Linked DNA regions of Oryzias latipes. The protein of the gene in region 1 purifies or fractionates together with the protein of each later gene. This does not show direct contact. Links are inferred from orthologs where the notes say so. Each region holds a gene or a part of one and is shown in the gene's direction. Other genes may lie near its edges. The genes, in order: stk38l, cdc37 and mob2.

Evidence for each region.
Region 2: the proteins of stk38l (region 1) and cdc37 purify together in Homo sapiens (affinity purification with mass spectrometry; 3 studies listed by BioGRID and IntAct, with this or other methods). This does not show direct contact. The link is inferred for Oryzias latipes from reciprocal best matches to the Homo sapiens genes STK38L and CDC37.
Region 3: the proteins of stk38l (region 1) and mob2 purify together in Homo sapiens (affinity purification with mass spectrometry; 9 studies listed by BioGRID and IntAct, counting the BioPlex papers as one, with this or other methods). This does not show direct contact. The link is inferred for Oryzias latipes from reciprocal best matches to the Homo sapiens genes STK38L and MOB2.

Annotation. Positions count from the first base shown.
Region 1 is NC_019881.2:3,870,234-3,873,844, reverse strand, and holds part of stk38l (serine/threonine-protein kinase 38-like), read left to right. Parts: intron 1-567; coding exon 568-692; 3' UTR 693-3,611. UniProt on the Homo sapiens protein: Involved in the regulation of structural processes in differentiating and mature neuronal cells.
Region 2 is NC_019866.2:8,383,004-8,387,429, reverse strand, and holds the start of cdc37 (hsp90 co-chaperone Cdc37), read left to right. Parts: upstream 1-1,564; 5' UTR 1,565-1,723; intron 1,724-1,804; 5' UTR 1,805-1,805; coding exon 1,806-1,913; intron 1,914-2,103; coding exon 2,104-2,379; intron 2,380-2,536; coding exon 2,537-2,642; intron 2,643-2,728; coding exon 2,729-2,844; intron 2,845-2,984; coding exon 2,985-3,107; intron 3,108-3,355; coding exon 3,356-3,538; intron 3,539-3,620; coding exon 3,621-3,692; intron 3,693-3,791; coding exon 3,792-3,917; 3' UTR 3,918-4,426. Other genes in the region: cmc4 (cx9C motif-containing protein 4), read left to right, coding at 225-282, 362-504. UniProt on the Homo sapiens protein: Co-chaperone that binds to numerous kinases and promotes their interaction with the Hsp90 complex, resulting in stabilization and promotion of their activity. Inhibits HSP90AA1 ATPase activity.
Region 3 is NC_019864.2:31,188,489-31,192,136, reverse strand, and holds part of mob2 (MOB kinase activator 2), read left to right. Parts: intron 1-807; coding exon 808-968; intron 969-1,830; coding exon 1,831-1,927; intron 1,928-3,089; coding exon 3,090-3,214; intron 3,215-3,648. UniProt on the Homo sapiens protein: Stimulates the autophosphorylation and kinase activity of STK38 and STK38L.

The DNA of each region.
Region 1 (3,611 bases):
AAAAAAGAAAGCTACTTTTAATAGACAGTACTACTTTTTTGCACCATGAGTGTGAAAAGGAGAGGATGATGACACCTGTGCGATGTACAATGTCATGGGTGTCAAAATAAAAGCTCAGGGTTCGTCTTGTGACGACTCTGTTCCTCCATCGTAGCGTAGCGAAAACAATCATCCGCCTACAATTTCAAGACTGTTTCGTGAAAACTTTATGTGACGTCATGCCGGTCCGTGGCGTTCAAAAGGTTGGGGACCGCTGCTTTATGTTGGTTTTGGTCTCCACCCCCTGATCATGTCACCAACATATCACTCGCCAAAGCTGAGTCCCTGATTGGTTGGTTCTTTGCCAACTGAATCACTGAATCACTTTTATTTAGACTGCAAGTTGGTGTCTATAGACGGCTGCCCAACCATTTTTATACAAGTTAAAGGTGTCCTCTAGTCTCACGTTTGACGCGGAAATCCACACACGATTTTACGATTGTGATATTTGGTCACTGGATCAAGTCTGCTGTTCTAGTTTCTGTTTAATATTTTGAGCTAATCCTTGTGTTCTGTGTTTCCAAACAGCCAACTCCACAGAACCTGACTTCAAGTCAAAGGACTGGGTGTTCCTCAACTACACATACAAGCGCTTTGAAGGTCTCACCCAGCGAGGCACCATCCCCACCTACATGAAGGCGGGAAAGGCCTGACGCAGCGGAGGGCGTGGAGGCCGCACCTCGGAGAAAAAACTTTACGGACACAGGGTCGGGCCACGGAGCCCCGCTGGTGCTGAAGGCCACGCCGCTGGCCTGTCAGTCAAACTTAACCCTCATCCAGAGTTACTTAGGTCTGCAGAGCTGCACAAGAGCTGCAGGAGCTCACTAAGGAGCATCACCGCATTACCTCGGTTATTTGTATCATTTGTGCCGTATTTAGCCATAGCGCTCAAGCCAGGTCACTAACTGTGACTCCAAATCAGGACATCTGCATGTTCAGTGGCAAAACGTCTTTGTTTATTTTGGTTTTAGTTTCTAATTTGACCTCGTTCTAATGGAGATGAGGGTTCAATGCCGACCACCGCCTTGTTGGCCTGACAACAATAGTGACTACACTGCTGGCTAAAGAACCTCTAATGCAAACTGAAGCTCAGTTTACTGTAGTCAAACTCTGGATGAACTATTGGAAACAACAAAGCAGACGCTCTTTACTGTAAGGATTGTTCCAGCATGATTTACTGGGGTTTTTCTTTAACCAAACAAGATCAACTGCTCCGGAGGATTCTTATTTTTAAAAAGTGTTAAAGAGGATGAGACGCTTAATCTTATCAATGACATCCATGAAAAATGGCTGACGAAAATATTTTACAGGATTCTCTAAATTAATTTGACCCAAAATCTCATACAGTAATGTAATTTTCATCTATTTGCACCAGTTGTTCCTGACAAGACTAGACTAACCGCAGCTGCTCCAAAGAAAGTAAAAAAGAGTAAAAAATAAGAAAAAAAGAAAGAGTAAAATAGCAACAGCGAAAGGATTGATTTACTTATTTATTTCCATAATGGTAATGGTACAATCTGCATCAAGGATTACCAAAAACAAAGTTGTCTCTTGGCTTAGGGTTATTTGCAAAGACTAAAGTTAGCATCACATTAGGCTGCAATAAAATAATTCAGATATTGAAAACTGCAAGCAAATGCATTATTTAAAGAACATTTTTTACTAAGAGTTCCAACAATTGTTTTTGCATGAGCGGACTGTCAAAGTAAATTACAGATCAGCTTCACCACTTAAGCTAATGTCCCTCTGGTCACAAGTGGGACAAAAGCGTTAACAAAATAATGTAAGACTCAGTTCAGTTCACTGGGTCTCCAGTCCATCATGTAAGCTCAAACTTTTTACAATTTCAGATTTACAAAATTAAATTGAGTAAGCATAAAGACGTTTGATACATACATGAGGACTCAACAGGTATTTAAAAAAAAAAAACATTAGATTTTTTTCAAACATGTTACAAATTTGAGCCATACAAGGCAGAGAGCTAGAAACCTCCTAAAGAAATGTAGAATCCCAGAATTGTTTTGAGAAATTTCATAAATTTGGGAAACATTTTGTAGCCATAGCAGTTTCAGAATATACAAAGAAAACATTGCAGATTTGATGCTAGCATCAGCCACTTGGTGCTTGTATCAGTCAACAGGTGCTAACATTGATTGGTGCTAGCATCATTTGATTATTGCTATTGATTGATGCAAGCATTAGGCAATTGATGCTAGCATTAGTTGATTAGTGTGATCATTAATCAATTTGTGCTAGCTTTAGCCAAAGGTGCTAGCATCTTTCAATTGGTAATAACATCTGTCAGTTTGTGCTAGGATTGATTGATGCTAGCATTAGCCAATTGATGCTACCATCAGTTTATTTGTCGTACCATCTGCCAATAGGTGCGATCATTATGATTTGTGCTAGCATTGATTGTTTCTAGCTTTAGGCAAAAGGTGCTAGCATCTGTCAATTGGTGGTAGCAGCAGCCAATTGGTAATAACATCAATCAGTTAGTGCTAGGATCGATTGATGCAAGCAAGCATTAACCAATTGATGCTAGCATCAGTTTTTTGTGCTAACATCTGTCGATTGGTGCGATCATTAGGCAATTTGTGCTAGCATTACTTGGTGTTAGCTTTAGCCAATAGGTGCTAGCATCTGTCGATTGTTGCTAGCATCAGCCAATTGGTAATAACATCTGTCAGTTTGTGCTAGCATTGACTGGTGCTAACATTAGCCACCCTGTTTCATTGCTAATGTGTAAATCTGCATTTCTTACCCCCTCCACTCACTTAATGCAGTATTTTTTAGATAAATTCTGACTGCTGAAAGTTTGCTGCTGCCTTTCCTGTGCAGTTCCTCCACTGTGTTGTTATGACTTTTTGTGCGTCATTTCTGCGCCTTTCAATGAGATAATGAGGCAAAACAAACAAGAAAACTCTCAAGTCATGCTGGAACCCTCCTCGAAATGTGGTGATACATTTCAAAAATAAGTAGGATAAACTCAAACTGTTGTCAAGTGTTAAGTACAAAAAATGGTGTTTGTTCTCAAACTAACGTGCATTTCATAATTTCTCTTCGGTTGCCGCTGCACTGACTGATATTTGCCTGAATTTTCACTAGTTAAGGACCCAATGGATAGAACGTTGCAAAGTGCCTTTTTATGTAGCTGAGAAATCTTCAACCAGATGTTTAGCTTGAATTTAGCAGGGATTATTAAAGACATAGGCTAGACTAACATGAGGCTTTGAAAAGGGGGAGGGGCTTAAAGTTCTTAAGTTTAAAATCTTAAATAAAACAGCAAGATCAGGAGTTTGAAACAGGACAGTTGTAAAAACAAGGAAAAAACTATAAGAAAGAGAGGAAAACATCCTAATCAAGCAAAGCGGGGGTTGTTTTTGCATCTTTAAGCGTGTGCTAGGTTTTTGTCAAACGTGGACGGGAACTTCCGCTCTGTCACAGATCTAACCTGCTTCGAGGTGTGACTCTGCACAGCGCCATAAAGAGTTACCAAAGAACTGGAAATCCTCACCCGTTCTGGAAAAACGGATGTAGCTGTGGCTTACTGCACTTATCGTTAAACTACC
Region 2 (4,426 bases), on another chromosome or scaffold:
TCTAAATGTAATTGGCTAACAGCATGACACGTGATCAAAACAATCCCTTGAAAACGGAAGTGGTTGGGTTCCCAGCAGTAGTAGGTCGATCTGCGTATCAAATATTACTGGTATGTCTAACTTTAAAACCATGCCCCCAATCTTTATCCAATAAGTAAAGTTTAAGATTCTGCCCATGTTTTATTCATATCATTGTTTTCATTCTCACATGTTTTCCTTTAGATATGCCACAGAAAGATCCGTGTCAAAAGCAAGCATGTGCCATTCAAACGTGTTTACAAGGTACACATTGACGTTGTTGTTGTGCTCTTCTAATGCAAATCTCAAACAAATTTGTGAACTTTTTGTTCTCATCTCACAGCTAACAAGTATGTGGAAAGTAAATGCGAGGATGTGATCCGAGAGATGCAGCGGTGCTGTGCAGCGCAAACTGGAAACTCCGTCTGCTGCTCAGGTTTCAAAGACTCCAAACTGACAAACTTCAAACCGAGCAAAAATAGCTGACACCACCTGCTGATGACTTGCATTCAATGGAAATAAAAAGTATATAAAATTGTCTAGTTCATCTTCTTTTCTCTGTTAGATTGAACATTTTCTAGCTATTTTATTCAAACGTGTTGTCACAGGTTATGATCGCAACACCGGCGATGAAGAAAAAAGGAAAACATTCACAAACTGATCTTGTTTTCCTTTCTTAGAACTTGAACTTTTCCTTCTTGGGAACGGACAAACTAAATTATCATCTATCAGTCTGGAGCACACATCTATATCTGAAACATAACTATATAAAAATCATATCTGGCCATTTATATCAAGAACGAAAAATAGCAGTAAGCAAATGAATATCATACTCTTAGTTTACCATATTACGTAGGTACATTTTCTAAATCTTATATGTAAAAATAATAATCTTCTAATATGTGTTCAGATCAGCATTCTAATTTATTCTTAATTCGCCTTGAAAAATGTAATCATTCGGGTCATGGTGCTTTTCTTTCTTTTTTATATTTAAATATAATTTCCCTTTTCTTTAATTTTTATTGAACAATTGCAACATACAGAACAAAGAAATGCAACAATTATGCACAGATAATGTACATTACAATTCTGAATACAGAATAAACGTGTTACATGCTTAAGAAGATTCTAATTATTTCTAACAATCACAAAAGGGAATAAAAAATTAAAATAAATAAAGAAAATAGAACTAAACATAGAAAAAAAATGATAAAATAAAAAGAGAAAATGCGAGAGTAAACTTGTGTTATTATTCCAAAAGATTTACAAATGTTAATTGTTTTTTGAGCTTTTGTGTTTTTTGAAGCTGAAATTAAGTTTAAATATTGCTGCAGTTCCAGTTTTAACACAAATAAATCAGTTTTTTATAGGAGAATTTGCTTTTATGAATATCAAATTTAGCCATAAATAACAACATGTTTATACAAAAGAAAGCATCACAGTCTTTCAGATTAAAACTATGAAAACCAAATATTTTCCGTTTTTGGTCATTGTTTCCGGTGTCTAAATTACGACGTACAATGTACGCGCCTTACGTATGACGTAAACGGAAGCTTTGGGGAGAATTTCTTCTAGAACTCTGTAGCAGCTTCCCGTTAGCTCTTGCTTGGGAGTAACAAATCAATTCGCACGACCAAATTTGGAGTACAGAAACACAGAGCACCAACACACATTTCTGAAGGGTTCGAGTGTGAATATTTCTTAGGTCGGTATTTTAGCGAGCGTGATTTAGACGCCAACTTAACCGAGTTCTAGTCGAAGCTAGCGCTGCTTCTTCTTGCTGCAGGATGTCCAGGATAGATTACAGCGTGTGGGATCACATTGAGGTATCGGATGATGAAGATGATACCCACCCAAATATTGACACTCCCAGTCTCTTCAGATGGAGACACCAGGTAAATATAAAAGCTTTTCGGAAAAGTGCTTAGCGTGATCGTTAGCTTTCACTTTCTGCTTGTAATTCTTCAGCCATGCTAATTTTCCTACTTACTTCGGATTCCTGAATTTGAACTCAAACTGGACAAGAGCTGATGAGTATTTGAAATTGTTTACACATGATGTTCACGCGTGTGATCTGTTCCTTAGGCGCGCGTGGAGCGAATGGAAGAATTCCAGAAGAAAGGCGAAGACCTAAAAAAAGGACTCGCCGAATGTCGGCGTAAACTCACGGAGTTACAGACAAAGATCCAGGACCTGAACCTTTCCGATGGTGTCAAAACAGAGCTCACCAAATACCAAGCCGATGAGAAGAAGCTGAAAAAAGAGGAGCGGGACTGGGAGAAAAAGCTGGATGAGTACTACAGGGAGGAGAAGAAGATGCCGTGGAACGTGGACACACTCAGCAAGGAAGGGTTCAGCAAGGTGACTTCTATATGCAGATAGAAACCTGTGGTTTTCTAGCAAGAGGTTGGAAAATCCAATGAAGCTCACATTAGTCCGTTGACATTTTATAAACAAAGTAGTTATTTCAAATCAATGCTAGATGGTGTCAAATCTTGATCTTTGTTCTCGCTTATAGAGCATAGTGAACATAAAACCTGAAACTTCGGAAGATACGGAAGAAGAAAAGGAGAAAAAACACAAAACATTTGTTGAAAAACACGAGAAGCAGATTAAACATTTCGGTAAGCCTGAGTAACTTCCATAAGGTCATTCTGTTGTCTTTTCCCTTCTTTAAAAACAATTTAAGTCTATTTTTATTAACTTACAGGGATGTTGCGACGATGGGACGACAGCCAAAAGTATCTCTCTGACAATCCTCATCTTGTATGTGAAGAAACCGCTAACTATCTCGTCATCATGTGCATTGATCTGGAAGTTGAGGAGGTAAACACATATACTTATATTTTTATTTTATATTCTTGTATCTTTGTTTTTTAGCATATCTTCTCCTCAAAGTGTGTGCTCCTGTTTGCAGCTGTTTAGGTTTTTCATTTCTTAGTAAAGCTTTGCTTTCCTATTTGCAGAAACACGCACTGATGGAGCAGGTGGCCCATCAGACCATTGTCATGCAGTTCATTCTTGAGTTGGCAAAAAGCCTCAAAGTGGATCCCCGCGGTTGCTTCCGTCAGTTTTTTGCAAAGATTAAAGTAAGCAAGTTTATTTAATTTTATTGTGTTTAATTGCTCTGAACTTATTCATTTTAAAGAAGATGTTTGGGCAGGAAAAGAAAGGGTGCTTTCATAAACAAGCAGTACAAAAATCAAAGGCAGTCTGTCTGTTATTCCTGGACTAAAACAGATTATTTTAAAAGTCCTTTTTTTTTTACCAGAAGTTTCTGTAAAATTTTATACTTCTGGTTTGGAATGTTCACATTTGTTCATTTGTTTTCTTACAGACCGCAGATCAGCAATACCAAGATGCTTTTAACGACGAGCTTGAGGCGTTTAAAGAACGGGTGAGAGGAAGAGCAAAGATTCGCATAGAAAAGGCCCTGAAAGAATACGAGGAAGAGGAGCGGCAGAAGCGGTTGGGGCCTGGAGGCCTGGATCCAGTTGAAGTGTATGAGTCGCTGCCTGCTGTAAGTGCATTCTAACAAGCAGGGTTTCATTTTTTGTCTCTATTGAGTTTGAAATGCTCACATAGTTTGCCTTCAACCACAGGAAATGCAGAAATGCTTTGATGAGAAGGACATCCAAATGTTACAAGAAGTCATCAGTAAAATGGATCCAACTGTAAGCTATACAGTTTTGTCTGGTTGAATCTTTTTGGATTTAGGTGCTTTTTTTTTTTTTAAGAAATCCCTGTTAACATGTGACTGTCGTGTCTTTTAGGAGGCAAAACATCATATGAAGCGTTGCATTGACTCAGGTCTGTGGGTCCCCAACTCTGGGGAAGGAAAGGAGGAAGAAGGGACCTATGAAGAGGTGAAACGGGAGCCGGAAGAAACAAAGGAGTGATCACAATGGATTTGTTGTTTGCAATTGTATTCACTTACTGTACCCCAGTCTCATTTAATGTAAAACAGCTTGCCAATAAACACCATCATTTCTTTAAACTTTTTGAGTACAAATTTGAATTATAAATGTGTAATAAGTCACATATTTGAAACAACAAAAACAAACTGTGTTTCTGCATCGCCTGAGCTGAATGTTTTTCCTTCATTTGTTATGCTTTGTTGGTATTGGTGCATAGTTGCAAGCTTAAGTCTAACATTGTCACATTTTTTTGCAACAGATATTTTATGTGACATTTGTACAACATTCACCGTTAAGTTCCAATGTTTTGATTTTTTTTTTTTCTTTCCTCCGGGTCTTTTACATTATTCAGGACAACAAAAACATTGACTTGTGCTCAAATAATCATTCAAACTGCTTGATTGATGAGCTTTATAGAACAGCTGGTAAATGAGGTTTCTAAGAAAAATAGTAAGGGTTACTGCTGTCAACTCCAGGCCAACGACAGTTGA
Region 3 (3,648 bases), on another chromosome or scaffold:
ATCTAACTCTGACCTGATGAGCCTGAAGGAGGAAGATGACGATGAGGAGCAGCTGGAGATCTGATCAGAGAACAGTCCTGACATTCATCATGAAGTGGTTCTGACCCGGTTTAATGACTTGGGAAGTTCAAACGCTGATGGAGATCTCTGTATGTTTACTGACCCCCCACCCCACCCCCGTGTGGACATGCCTGCTTGTTTGCAGAGGCTAAAAGCTCTTCCTGCAGAAATACATCGGGGGGGTCAGGGCAGGGAGTCTCTGCCTGGAGCGGGTCGCTGATCTTCGTCTTTCTTCTCCATTTGTGATACAAGCTGCTCAGGGACTAAAAACAGTTTTGTAGAAATCGAACCCGCGAGTTGAAGGTGGGACAGTGTTCTGGCCCCTCTTCTGTTCCTCAGAATCAGCGCCTGGGTCAGTGGGGGAAGGAGGAGGGGGAGCTCTGGACGTGAAGGCGGGGTGTGATGTGGCGTCCAGGTGTCAAAGGCGTCCGTGGACGGCCGAGCGTCTGCTAGAAGTTGGAAAGCTGGCGTGATGCCCCCCCCCCACCCCGTGCTGTTTTCTGTTGGGGGTGGGGTCCTGTGAAAGTTTCTGTTTTCCCAGAAACATTATTGGGGTCATCAGACTGACAGGTGACTTCCTGTTGGCGCTTCTTGAAAATCCGGTTGGTTTTGTTTCACAGCCGCATGACGTGGAGCTGCGAGGGAGATTCCTCCCCCCTCCTTTCACGCCGTCCTCCCCCGACATACTACAGCTTCTGTTTCCTCTTCTCCACTTTAACCCCCCTCCTCCTCCTCTCTGTGTCGCAGGAAGTCCAAGCCGAAGCCCAACGGAAAGAAGGCGCCGGTGGAGGAGAAGAAGCAGTACCTGGAGCCGGAGTTCACCAAAACCCGGGTGGTGGACTTTGACCTGAAGGAGCTGGTGGTGCTGCCCCGGGAGATAGACCTGAACGAATGGCTGGCCAGCAACAGTGAGTGACAAGCGTCTGAACAAGATTGTCCCGCCCAGATCCGGCTCTCTCAGGTGGGCCGGTTCTGGGCGGGAAAAGTTATAAAGCACCTTTCACGTGCATTCAACCATAAAATCCCTTTGAGGCGCTATCCAACATGGCAGAAGCTTTGAGAACAGCAACTTCCTGGTTCTTCTGGTTGGTTCATTAAGGAAAAAGGTTTTCAGCACCGTTTGGTTTCCACGACAACAGAACTTTCAGTATGAAGAACCGAAGCTCAGACGAGCTTTAACCAATAAGGTTCTATAAGAAAAGGAAGTTCTGTTTATTTATGAGTTTAGCATTAAACCACCAAAGACACCAACCAGGATGGGTAGTTTGGATTCTTACCGGTTCTGAAACGGTTCTAACGGAGCTCAAACCGGAGCTTTAAAACAAACTAAACTAAAAACACAGCAATTGAGTCAGCTCTGCCACGAGGCGGTTCAGGCGGTGATGTTTTGGCGCCGAGCGGCTGAAACAGGAAGGCGTTCTGCGCTGCCCACTAGTGGTCGGAGGTTGAACTACACGTCTGCTTCTAAATTCACTCAGGGTTGTTTGGGCTTTCTAGTGTTGACAAATAAAATAGTCCGATACACCCCCCCCCCCCCCCCACCCCGACTCACATGCCTCCTCTGAGCCCCTCTGGGTTCAGCTCCTCTCTTCTGTCATGTGTTTGGGGGCTGATGTGTCACAAACGTTCTGGACGTGTCTGAAGTCAGGTTCCGCAATAACAAATTCCAGCAAGGTTCTGGAAGGTGGGAACCCTTCCAGATTCGGTCTGTAGACCAGAATGTTCGGTTCTGATCCGATTCCTCCTAACGTGCTGCCCTCTCCTCCACAGCGACCACCTTCTTCAACCTCATCAACCTGCAGTACAGCACCATATCCGAGTTCTGCACCGGGGACACCTGCCAGGCCATGAGCGCCGCCTGCAGCACGTAAGCCCCCCTTCCTGTCCTTTAACCCCCGGATCCTCCCGAAGGGTCACGTGAGGTCGGCTAGTTCTGGTCCGTCTGGGAACGGGCCGAAGGGTTAGACCCACTGCTGCTAAATGAAAACAGCAGCTATGCTGTGGCTGTGGTGCAGCGTCCCAGACTGTGTGTGATTCCTGCTGTGCTTTGATCGTTTTCATCAATCAAACCTTGCACTATTGCTGCTGTTTGAAGCCCCGCCCCTTTGCAGTTTTCCCAGGGAGGCGGTTGATCTACCTGCTGTTGTGTGGGGGGGTGTGGTTCCGCCTGTGTTGTTTTTTGGCGGGATGCCTTTCATCCTTCCCGCTGGGGAAGCCGGTTCCACTGGAAGAGCCGCTCTGACCCAGCCGGCCAGGAGGTCGGCCCGGGGGGGGTTTCCACTCCACCCAGAAGCAGGCTTGGCGCCGGCGGGAGGGGCAGCAGCCGGTTCGGTCGTAGGCGGAGCCAGAGATTGGATCCAGAGGAGAAACGGTTCCTCCTCTCTGGACTTCAGTGTCTGTAATTCTGACTGTTGGGCTCCAGTCCCCCCCCCCCCTTTCCTGTGGGTCCCCCACCCTTCCCTGTGGGTGCCCCCCCCTCTGTGGTGAACTCTGGCAGAGCCACGGTTGCAGCAGCGTCATTCTGGGCCTGCAGGCGCCGCCAGCTTCTAAAAATAGAGCAAATGTTTCCATGAGCTCCGGGGGGGGGGGGGGGGCTCTTAACCCGCACTTAAAGCGGTCTATGGTTGGGGGGGGGGCTGGATCCATCCCGGCTTATCCCCCCCTTTGTGGCGTTCACAGCCAAAACCGAACGGCTCTTTCATGAGGAGCTCAGAACTTCTGGAAGGTTCTGGTTTTAAACCCACAGTGCAGCAGGTTTCTGGATTGGGGGGGGGGGGGGGGGGGGGGGGGGGGTATCTCATGATCTCTGAACCAGGAAGGTTCTGGTTCTGATGTCGCCTCTGAAGCAGCAGGTGACGTTTGACAGAGAGGAGGTCATGTGACCTGCTCATCTGACGCACGCTCCAGGAAACGTGGCCCCCACAGCCGATCCTCCATTCCAGACTGTACCCTGGAGTAGCCCCGCCCCCTTTCCCCATGCTGTTGTGAAACGCTGCGGCGGCGGCATTGACGCCATCTTTCTCTTCCAGAACCTACTACTGGTATGACGAGAAGGGGAGGAAGACGAAGTGCACGGCGCCGCAGTACGTCGACTTCGTCATGAGTCTCTGTCAGAAGCTGGTGACGGACGAGGAGATCTTCCCCACTAAATACGGTGAGATCAGCGCCCCCTGCTGGTGCAGAGGCGGAGCTTCAGTGATGCTGCAGAGTCCGACAGGAAGAGTAAACGTAGAGCTGTCATGCCAGATTTACAATCTAACCTAAGAATTTCTGCCAAAAGCCTCATTTTGAGGGTTTTTTAATCTGAATTCATGACATCAAAATATAACTTATGAAGTTTTCCTAAAACAACCTTTACTTTGTCACCAACAAGGGAATTTTTTTAATCTCCAACAAAAATGAGAACCAATCATCCAGTCCAGAGTCTCTGACTTAACGCATAAAACATATTCTCCACAGAGAAACACAGTTTACCGTCCTCCACGTCTGCTTTATCGATGCTAACGAACGCCTGGTCATCACGATGGATCAAAGCTGTGGCTGGTTTTTGGTGGCACATTGATGGAGTTCATGGACTGGTGGGGGGTC